Linked DNA regions of Nothobranchius furzeri. The protein of the gene in region 1 interacts with the protein of each later gene in a pairwise test. Links are inferred from orthologs where the notes say so. Each region holds a gene or a part of one and is shown on either strand. Other genes may lie near its edges.

Evidence for each region.
Region 2: the proteins of pex13 (region 1) and pex14 interact in a two-hybrid assay, tested with the Homo sapiens proteins (2 studies listed by BioGRID and IntAct, with this or other methods). The link is inferred for Nothobranchius furzeri from reciprocal best matches to the Homo sapiens genes PEX13 and PEX14.

The regions. Positions count from the first base shown.
Region 1 is NC_091752.1:7,648,517-7,653,726, reverse strand, and holds pex13 (peroxisome biogenesis factor 13), read right to left. Parts: upstream 3,585-5,210; 5' UTR 3,482-3,584; coding exon 3,408-3,481; intron 2,807-3,407; coding exon 2,094-2,806; intron 1,861-2,093; coding exon 1,738-1,860; intron 1,301-1,737; coding exon 963-1,300; 3' UTR 730-962; downstream 1-729. UniProt on the Homo sapiens protein: Component of the PEX13-PEX14 docking complex, a translocon channel that specifically mediates the import of peroxisomal cargo proteins bound to PEX5 receptor.
Region 2 is NC_091755.1:29,686,538-29,691,077, forward strand, and holds part of pex14 (peroxisomal membrane protein PEX14), read right to left. Parts: intron 2,003-4,540; coding exon 1,886-2,002; intron 1-1,885. UniProt on the Homo sapiens protein: Component of the PEX13-PEX14 docking complex, a translocon channel that specifically mediates the import of peroxisomal cargo proteins bound to PEX5 receptor.

The DNA.
Region 1 (5,210 bases):
ACTTCTGAGAGCCAATCAAATAATGTTGCTCCCTTTTTGTCTCACATTTTAAACTTTTGTGATGTGGTTCATTCTAGGCTGTTTTCAGCACATTCATCAGCAGTTGGGCAGTAAAAAAGTGCTTTATAAATAAAAGTTGATGATTACTCTAAACATGAACTTCAAAACTAGCTGATATTACCAAGTGATATTTGTGACACATCAGACTGCGTAAAAGCAGTTTCTATTAAAAGCTGGTGTCGTTTTGTTGCAGCTTATGAAATTTCCTTAACAGCCACAATAGTGCTTTATTTGGCCCAAAGGTTATTATGGTGGATACCAGAAGGCATACCTGTGCTTTAAAATAATTTATTTTTAAAATTTAAAACAGTTTATACTTTGCAGATTTAAAAAAATCTATCCTTTCCCTTATGAATTATATAAAATGTCCCTACATTAACACTGCATAAAAAAAAGAAACTGATAAATCAGAGTAAATAAATCAGACTTTTCAATTACAAATGATGATAAAACATCTGTTTGCTTATAATCTAGGACTTTTTTTTTCCATAAAGAACTTAAGACTTCTAATGTAATTAAGACTTCTAATGTAATAAATAATATCTAATAAATTATTAAAAAACGTACCTGTACAGAAACCACATTTCTGTGTGTTTTAAATCTCCTGTCATGATTGAGTTTGTAAGATTTAGTTACTGTTGTAGTGAAAATATAACAAATAGACAATGCTTAATTTTGAAAATATATTTCCTTTTCCTAAACTAATCAAGTTAAATATTTACATTGAGTGATTGATTAACCGATAAAATTGGGAAAAATTAGACATCTCTGAATGAATCAAAGTCCTTTCGCTTCACTCAACAAACACAGACGCCTAAAGCTCAGACAGATTAAATGAAAAGCTAATCTCAGACGAACTAAAACAGTGTTTGAATAACATTTTTCTCGTTCAGACTCGATCGTCACAGGTCATCCTTCTCCGGGATGTTTATCAATGTGTCGGAGGACATGCTGGAACTGAAAGAGGCTGGCGCTGCTCCATACGCCGACTCAAGCTGCTCTGCAGACGCCGTGGAAAGATCTCGGTTAAAATCTTGAGCTGCAGGCGAGTGCGACTGCGGAGTCGAGGCCGTTGCAGAAGCCGGCGCCATTCCTGGCTGAACCTGAGCAAGCCTCTCCATCTCGGCATGCCTGCGCCCTCTCCTCTTGCCAAGGACTTTCACGTAGTTGGCAGGAACGAGACCTGTGGTCTGACCGTCAACGCTGGCGAGCAACCAGCCACGCACCCGGGGTTGTTGCTCTAAACACGAGGAGGGGAAACAAGTTTTAGTCTCGAAGAAGTTGAGAAAATGTTCTGGACAGTGAACGTCACACTGTCGCAGGATGTCTATGAAAACAGGCTTGTCTGAGACGATGTGTTGAAGCTTTCAGATTATAGCTTTGGAGATAAAAAACAAAACAAAGGCGGATTCTGTTTCTGTGTCAGAGCTTAAAACAGATTAGAAACTCTCCTAAAGTGAAAACTGAAATCATAATTGTTCAATTAAACATCTTCATCAACAAAAATATCATACAACATTCAAAATATGAAATCTCATTTTAAAAGTAACCTGAGTGGACGACACAGAAAGGGATAAAAACCACACGAAGGTAATACTTTTCACATATTTTGAACTACAAATGCCGCTTTTTTAAACCAGTTTAAACTCGAAGACAGGTTATGTTCAAAGCTTCTACCTTTAGGGGCGAGGTTAAGCATATCTCCAGCCTGCAGAGAAAGCTCCTCCTCAGAAGCTGCTGAAAACCCAAACTCAGCTTGGGCCACAACGTGATCGTCCTCCCCGCTGGCCCAGTCAGTAGCTAAACAAACAGAACAATTTCACTGAAAGCAGGTAAAGACAACGGTTAGTGTTGTTGTACAAGCTGTGGAGTCCAAGTTGAACTGATTCTCGCCCGTCTGTCACCACTGAGTCTTTACTAGTCTATTTACTGAGAAGTCTTGTGTCAGAAAACAGCTTTAAACATCAAATAATGAGTTGGAATAAACACAGAAGCAGGTTTGGAGACAGAAGAACATGAAACACAAGCCTTACTGTTTTCTTCACTGGCAGCACTGGAGCTGAGAAGTTTCCAGATGAGGTAGGGGCCGCCGAGGACTACAGCAAAGAACAGGAAGACCGGCCAGGACTTCACACGCTGATCCTCAGCGCCTGCTCCGTTACCTCTAGATGAACTCGTAGCAAGAACATCACTAGTGCTGTCAGCCCACAAGTCCTCAGCATCTGCGTCTGGCCGCCCCCTCCTCAGAAGTCGCTGCAACCATCTGTACAGGTAACGCAATGTTCGGACAAAAGCAAAAGCTGACAGAACTCTAGTGAGGTCAGCACGCAGCCTCGTTAGATGGTTAGCGACATCCAGCACCGCTCGAAAACTGTTGTACACCGCTGAGAAGGTGGCGTCGAGCATCATGCTGACCGAAGAGAAGGCCTGGACGATGCTCTCAATGGACTGGAAGGCACCACGGCTGCTCTCCTCGGCCTGCTGCACAAACCGGCTGGGGACAACGTCCTCTCGGGGGGGGAAGTGTCTGTAGCCCACTGAGTTGAATCCACTACCGTAAGAGTAGGGGCTGTAGCCGCCATAGAAGGAACTCCCATACGGACTGTGCGAAGGCATGAAGGAGTTGTAGGATGGACGATAGGACTGCTGGACAGGCCGGGGGGGCACTGGAGGAGCCATCCTGGTCAGGACAGGAGGACCCACAGAAGTGGAGGCGACTCCTGCAGCGGGCCCAAAGCCGGTAGACCTATTTGGTGAGAAAAACAAGCTAAGATACAGAACAGCTGTTTCCTGTGCGTTTTCAGGAAGAACTAAAACATGCATGACCAGAGTTGTTGAAAAGAAGCTAAAATAATTTCACTCATTCACTGCCAGCCGTTTCCTGATCAGAAAAACCCTTCGCTGCCAGCGTTTTCTCTTTTTAAGTGCTCTGCTTTGGGCTAATGCCAGTTAAGCGTGTAAAATCAGTGGATCAGAGCAGGCGTGTTGATAAAAGGCATTTAAAACCACAAAAGACGGGCAAAAATCTAAAGTTAGAGGACATGTACACTAATGTAAAAAACAGTAAATGCTGTGAGTGGCTTTAACGTTTATTAAAGGCAAAGCAACAAAACGCTGTAACGAAGCTCTAGCTAACTACATTTTGATTAAACGGTTGTCGTAAACAACTTATGAGCTGCTGAAACACAACTAAGTCGTTATTCGAGCTCCGAACAAAAAGGACATTGGTTTTGATTGAACATGTTGTTTATAGTGGCCCTTGATCATTAGCGTTAGCATTTGGCTAACTTACGAGCCAGCTGTGACAGGTAAACACGCGAGAGCGAGCAAGTAACATTATTATTTACCTGTAATTTACTGGCGCACTCATAACTCTTGGAATGTGCCCTTGCCACGGTTTAGGTGGAGGTTGAGAATCCATTGCTAAATATTAGCCCGCAAGGGTAGAAATATAGCAATATTTGCCCTCGTCCCCAAGTTGTCTCTACTGTGGCCTTCTTCTTCGTTGGTGCTAAATTCTTACCTTCTTTAACCCAAGTATGAATCATTGATGCTTTTCTGCCCCCTTGTGGTTTTAATGGTAATAGCCGAGGCTAAAGGCTAAACCTCTGATGTGGTAATTTATTTCGCAGGAAAAATGCACACATTTGTTTAATTTGCCTTTTAAATTCAAAACATTATTGGACTAAACAGAGATTATTCCAGAGGATTACAATTTGTAAATCATTTTCTCTTTCGATCAGCGTTAACGTAACAATCTGTAAGTGGCCAGCAGAGGACGCTACACACAATAACAGAAATGTGAAACTATCTCTCAGCAGCAGGTTAAAGGTAAATATAATAAAATTTAATATCTGTGTGTGTGTGTGTGTGTGTGTGTGTGTGTGTGTGTGTGTGTGTGTGTGTGTGTGTGTGTGTGTGTGTGTGTGTGTGTGTGTGTGTGTGTGTAAAAAAATGCAAATAGCAACAGCACTTTTGTTTACATGGAAAACTCCCATCAGATTAAACAGCGAACTTTGTAGAATATTTGTAAAATATATTACAGTAAATAAGCAACTAACAAAAACAAAAAAATCAATACAAAAATCACTCTTCTCAATGTCACCCCACATTTATTTCTTGACATAATCTTTAAAATGTTTTATTTGGCACAACTCCACATCTGCATGAGGAAGAACAGATAATTTAGTGATGTTTTTACAATAATATCTTACAGGAAAAGGATAGCAGTACAGCATGAGTGCAGTTTTAACATCAGAATCTTTTAACCAAAACAAATTCTGATAACAAAAATCCATAGGATTCACAGCTCATACGTGTGTACTGTCACGTTAGGATTTCACTCTTTATAATTTTCTGCACCTAAAAACCTTCTTGATTAAAAATAATAATAAACCCAACAAAAACCTGTTTTTCATGCTGTTGCAAAAGAATCAAAACCTACTTGAAAGCTGGATTCAGAGGAACATTTTCATTTGTGAAAAGATGAAAACTAATTTACTATGATCTTTTTAAAAAATTAACTGAAAGATCAGACATCCAATTTAACTTTACCTGGAAGTTTAAACATCTGATCTAAAAAGGAGAACCAGTAAAAAACGGAGGTTTATGTAGAAAAAGGATATTCAGTTAAATTATTTCTGTTTGTTGGAAAACATTACATTTCTGTGATCTCATTAAAGAGCAAGTCACCCCCCAATAAACATTTTTTTGCTGATAAACCAAATAAACGAGTATCTAATCGTGCTGCAGACACGTGTCGTCAATAATTTGGCACTTCAGTGCATCTTAGTTAAAATTTAAATATTCTGCCTAAAACTGGCAGTGTTGTGCCATTGACAGATACAACTGCACTGTATTCTAATTTAAATCTGCCACCACTATTGGCTAAGAGGTATGCTATGATGCAAACTGGTACATTATGATGTCACAATGCTGTCGTGAGCCTGTGTGTGTCTGTATTTGTTAGCAGCTCCGCCCTCTCGGTCTGCTAGGCAACAGCATTTGTTGCATTTGTCAAACATGAAGTGGGAGTGGAGTTAGACTCTGGTAGGGGGTTGACTTGCTCTTTAAGAAAAAAAAATTATAAAACGCTAACAATGATTCTTGATGTCAATGCTGAAGCGGTTTAATAATTATAGTTATCTTTA
Region 2 (4,540 bases), on another chromosome or scaffold:
CGGCTGGAAACCTTGTTCTAGTGTTGCAACTACAACCGCCACACACTAGATGTCGCTTTGGTGTTTGTGTACCATATTCAACCGTTTAATGTGAACAACAACAAAAATTAAACGTAAGGGCAAATATTTTTTAAAAGTACTGGATACAAAATGATAAAAGAAAAACTAAAATGTGGAACCATCAGACAAAAAACCACTGCCTTTTGCTGAACGACTATGAAATGTTAAACATAATTACAAGTAAGTGGGGAAAACTGCTTCTTCCTTAAAAATATACATATATTATTTGTTAAAAAGCTCCTAAGGCAAACAGAAAAGTAGAAAGAGTGTATATGTGCATTTAGAAGTTGGCTGTCGTGCTGAGTGACGGATAATGTGAAAGTGTGTCATTGTGCAAGCTGTCATCTGGGTAGGCCAACTGTCTGTCAAGGTGGAAATTCCCCACTCAGGAGAGGCATTCAACTGAAAATGTCACTAAACAGCCAACATATCTAGAGAAGTATGAGTGAGTTTTTTTATTTACTCTGATGTAGCCAAAATAAATACAAATTTTGCAAAGCGTCCCCCTCTAAAGCACACTGTTGATATTCTATTGCAGGTCTGATTCCACCTAATGGGTTCGCTGAACATGTTTATTGCCTAAAGTAGGTAAACTACATTGATCTTTTGCCTTAGCACTTGTGATTTTATATGCAAATAAAACAGGAGACCACTCATGCAAGACTATATATATATATATATATATATATATATATATAGAATATTTTCAAGGTGAGTGTCATTTTATTTTCCCTGCTGAAGGGCAAGTTTCACTACTGCTGCCGCACTCATGAACCTGTAACCTTTCCCATCGAAAATTTTTGAATCATTCTTCAACATCCATATGATAACCACATAAATTTGGGTCTTCATCAACATTAGAGCCGGGATAGACTGTCACCTATCCCAGAACAGCAGGCATCTGAAGGGCCTTAGAGTCCTTGGGTTGGGTGTTTGACCCTGAACAAGCCTGACTGCATCACTAGAGGCTCTTCACTTGCTCTTTCCCCCCCTCCTTTAGGGCATCTCATTCTTGCACTGTCTTTCCCTTTTCTATACCACTTCAGCACTGCCATCTTCCTTTTTTTTTTATTTGGTCACTTAAGCTGTGAAACTGTGGACTCCATCCCCCGTTTTTCCAATCTCCTCTCAAATTTATTGGGTTCAGTGGAGGCCTTCCTGTCCTTCTACCATGTGGAAATAGAGATCAGAGTATCCATTACTGCGACAGAGATGGATGCGGGTCTCTGTGCACCATCCCCGTTAGAAGGACATCATAAGCAGGTAGCCCCCTCTTTTCAGCATGACCCCCCATACAAGACTTCCCGCTCTCACCTCATTATGCAGCTCCCTTATAGCCATTTTGATATAAAACCCCCTACAATGGACGGAGAGCTGCGAGTCTCCCTAACTACATGGCCATCCCATCAACATCACTTTCATTACAAAACATGAGATGCCAGGGAGTCAAGGACAGTGTGGTAATAAATGAGGGTGGAATACATCTGGAATCATTGTCATATGGGTTAAGCATTACGCGGACTTCATTCTGCATTGGTAAATCAGTGGACAGAATTCACAACCTCCTGAGGTAATAAAGATACAGGTTGGGGTGTGGGGTCTTGCTAAGGTGGAACCCCCTGAGACAGAGTAGCCCAAGGCTTCATGAGCTCAGATGATGTTCTTTGTTTCTAAATTTACAATTAAACATTTTCAAATTCATATATGTGCTGAAGCTTCTAATTTATCACTTCAAAGTTGTTACTGGAATGATAAAATGCACAAAAATGTAATTATTATTTAGGTTCATGGGTGCAAAAGAGCAGAAAAAGGCCTGAGTACTTACTGGGTGGTGCAGGAACTGCATATGGTGGTAGTGGGTGTCCCATGGGACTCAAAGGCAGGACTTCCTCAGTGCTGCCAGAGCGCTGGATGGCCAACTCTACCTCCCCATCCGTCAGCCCTGGAATCCACACAAATCCTTAAAATCATTCCCACTACTATTCAGCGCCTCCAAATTAGGGTTAAAATCCAAATGGCCCCTTTGCTGTAATAATGTAACTAAATACTTCCCAACCTTCTAACAAATTGTTTTAAGTACAATTCAGAGAGTATGTCAAATCTCATTCAATTTTACAAACCCTCGACTCAAAAATTTATTTTCATTTCACAATTGAGAAACACCACTGAGATTTTCGGAGACATCCATCAAAGGAAGTGGAGAAAGGTTCACACAATGAAATCTGAGACTGCTAGCCTATTAACTGCCACCAAAGGCAAAGAAAATAAGAGTCTGTCCACTTCTCCAGTTATATTTCCCATGTGGAGATTTCATACACCCCAGACAGCTAAAATGCATTATTTTAATTTCTTCATTGTAATGTAAATGTATTACATAATTTTGCAAATGCCAATATAATTTAATCTTCAGATATTTTTAATGATTTTAGTGATGATTAAATTGCAAAGGGCTCCCTGATGGAGAATCGTAGGGGAAGAGAGGAAAAAATCTAATATGAACATCTCCTTTTGTGGCAAGAAAGGATTTTATTTCAGGCACCATATGCTGCCATTGCTATGGGTCTCATTGTTTAATGAGTATCCTAGTCTAAACAAAGGAAAATAATTAGAACTATATTAAAAACGCAGCTTCAACTCATTTATAACAAAAACAATTAAGAGAAAATTACAGACAGAAAGCCAAAACTGAAACATCCTGTAGTTACTGAATGATGAGCTAATGGAAACAGTCACATTTAAATGATATCTTGGATTTTCATTGATTTAGAAAAACTTTTTACTATGCAATTACTACTATCTATGTGTAATGTAGGTCTTTTTTATTTCCTAAAGATTAAGGAACACAAAAAGGTCAAATGTGACAGGTTAATAGAAAAGTGACAGTTGTCATGAATTGGAGTTGCACGGAGGTCCGTTATTATATTTTTAGGTAGCATGCTCCCATGTGAATTGTCACAATAAATTTAGCAAATATTTAAGGCAGGAAAACTCTCCTACCTACAAGGAACAACTTCTATACAAACAACCTCTCCAGAATAATATCTGTTCATGAAGCTTATAGTCAGTTCTATATTGCAAGTGCAAGCTGACATAGATGTTTTGCCCTTTCAGGATTTGTATGATTTTTTTTTAATCCGTGAAAGTGATTGTCTTATCCTGTACTGTGATGTAAAGTAGGTAAAACATCTTTTTTTTCAAGCCTGCTCCGTGTCCTGTAGAGCTTCATGTGGGGCAATGGTGGCACAGGAGTTAAGTGCTCGCCCCGTAATCGGTAGGTTGCAGGTCACTGCCGTTGTGTCCTTGGGCAAGACACTAAACCCGCTGTGCCTGCTGGTGGTGGTCGGAGGGACCGGTGGTGCCTGTGTACGGCCTCTGTCAGTGTGCCCCAGGGCAGCTGTGGCTACAATGTAGCTCATCATCACCAGGGGAGAATGGGTGAATGACTGATGGTGTTGTAAAGCGTCTTGGGGTGGGGGGGTGGGGGGTGTCCCAGGAATCTAGAAAAGGAAATATCAAATGCAGCATGTAATTATGAACCAGTAGCATTACACATCTGCTTAGCACCGCAGAGCGTGCAATAATGCTACCCCTGAATTTGGACACTCCTATAGTTTCATTCTTCAGGACCTATGAGCTAGTGGCTAGTCCAAGTGCAGACAAACCCAAAGTGTACTGCTACCAATCTCAAAACTGCTTAGAACATTAAAGGTTTTAGACATTGCTCATCAGTCCTGTAGAAGTGCACATTACATTTCTACAAACATAGGAAAGCAATTAAATAGTAAGTATTAATAACTTTTATATAAGAAAAGACAATTAAAAGACTTTTAAAGCGACCAAAGAAGTTCCATTCAATGAGAAATTCCATGTTATCCACCCTATATACAGGTGCTGGCCAGTAAATTAGAATATCATCAAAAGGTTGAAAATATTTCAGTAATTCCATTCAAAACGTGAAACTTGTACATTATATTCATGCAATGCACACAGACCAATGTATTTCCAATGTTCATTACATTTAAATTTGATATTCATAAGTGACAACTAATGAAAACTCCAAATTTGGTATCTCAAAAAATTGGAATATTCTGAAAAGGCTGAATATAGAAGACACCTGCTGCCACTCTAATCAGCTGTTTCACTCAAAACACCTGCAAAGGCCTTTAAAAGGTCCCTCAGTCTTGTTTTGAAGGCACCACAATCATGGGGAAGACTTCTGACTTAACAGCTGTCCAAAAGACAATCATTGACACCTTGCACAAGGAGGGCAAGACACAAAAGGTGATTGCTAAAGAAGCTGGCTGTTCGCAGAGCTCTGTGTCCAAGCACATTAACAGACAGGCGAAGGGACGGAAAAAATGTGGTAGAAAAAAGTGTACAAGCTCTAGGGATAACCGCACCCTGCAGAGAATTGTGACGACAAACCCATTCAAAAATGTGGGGGAGATCCACAAAGAGTGGACTGCAGCTGGAGTCAGCG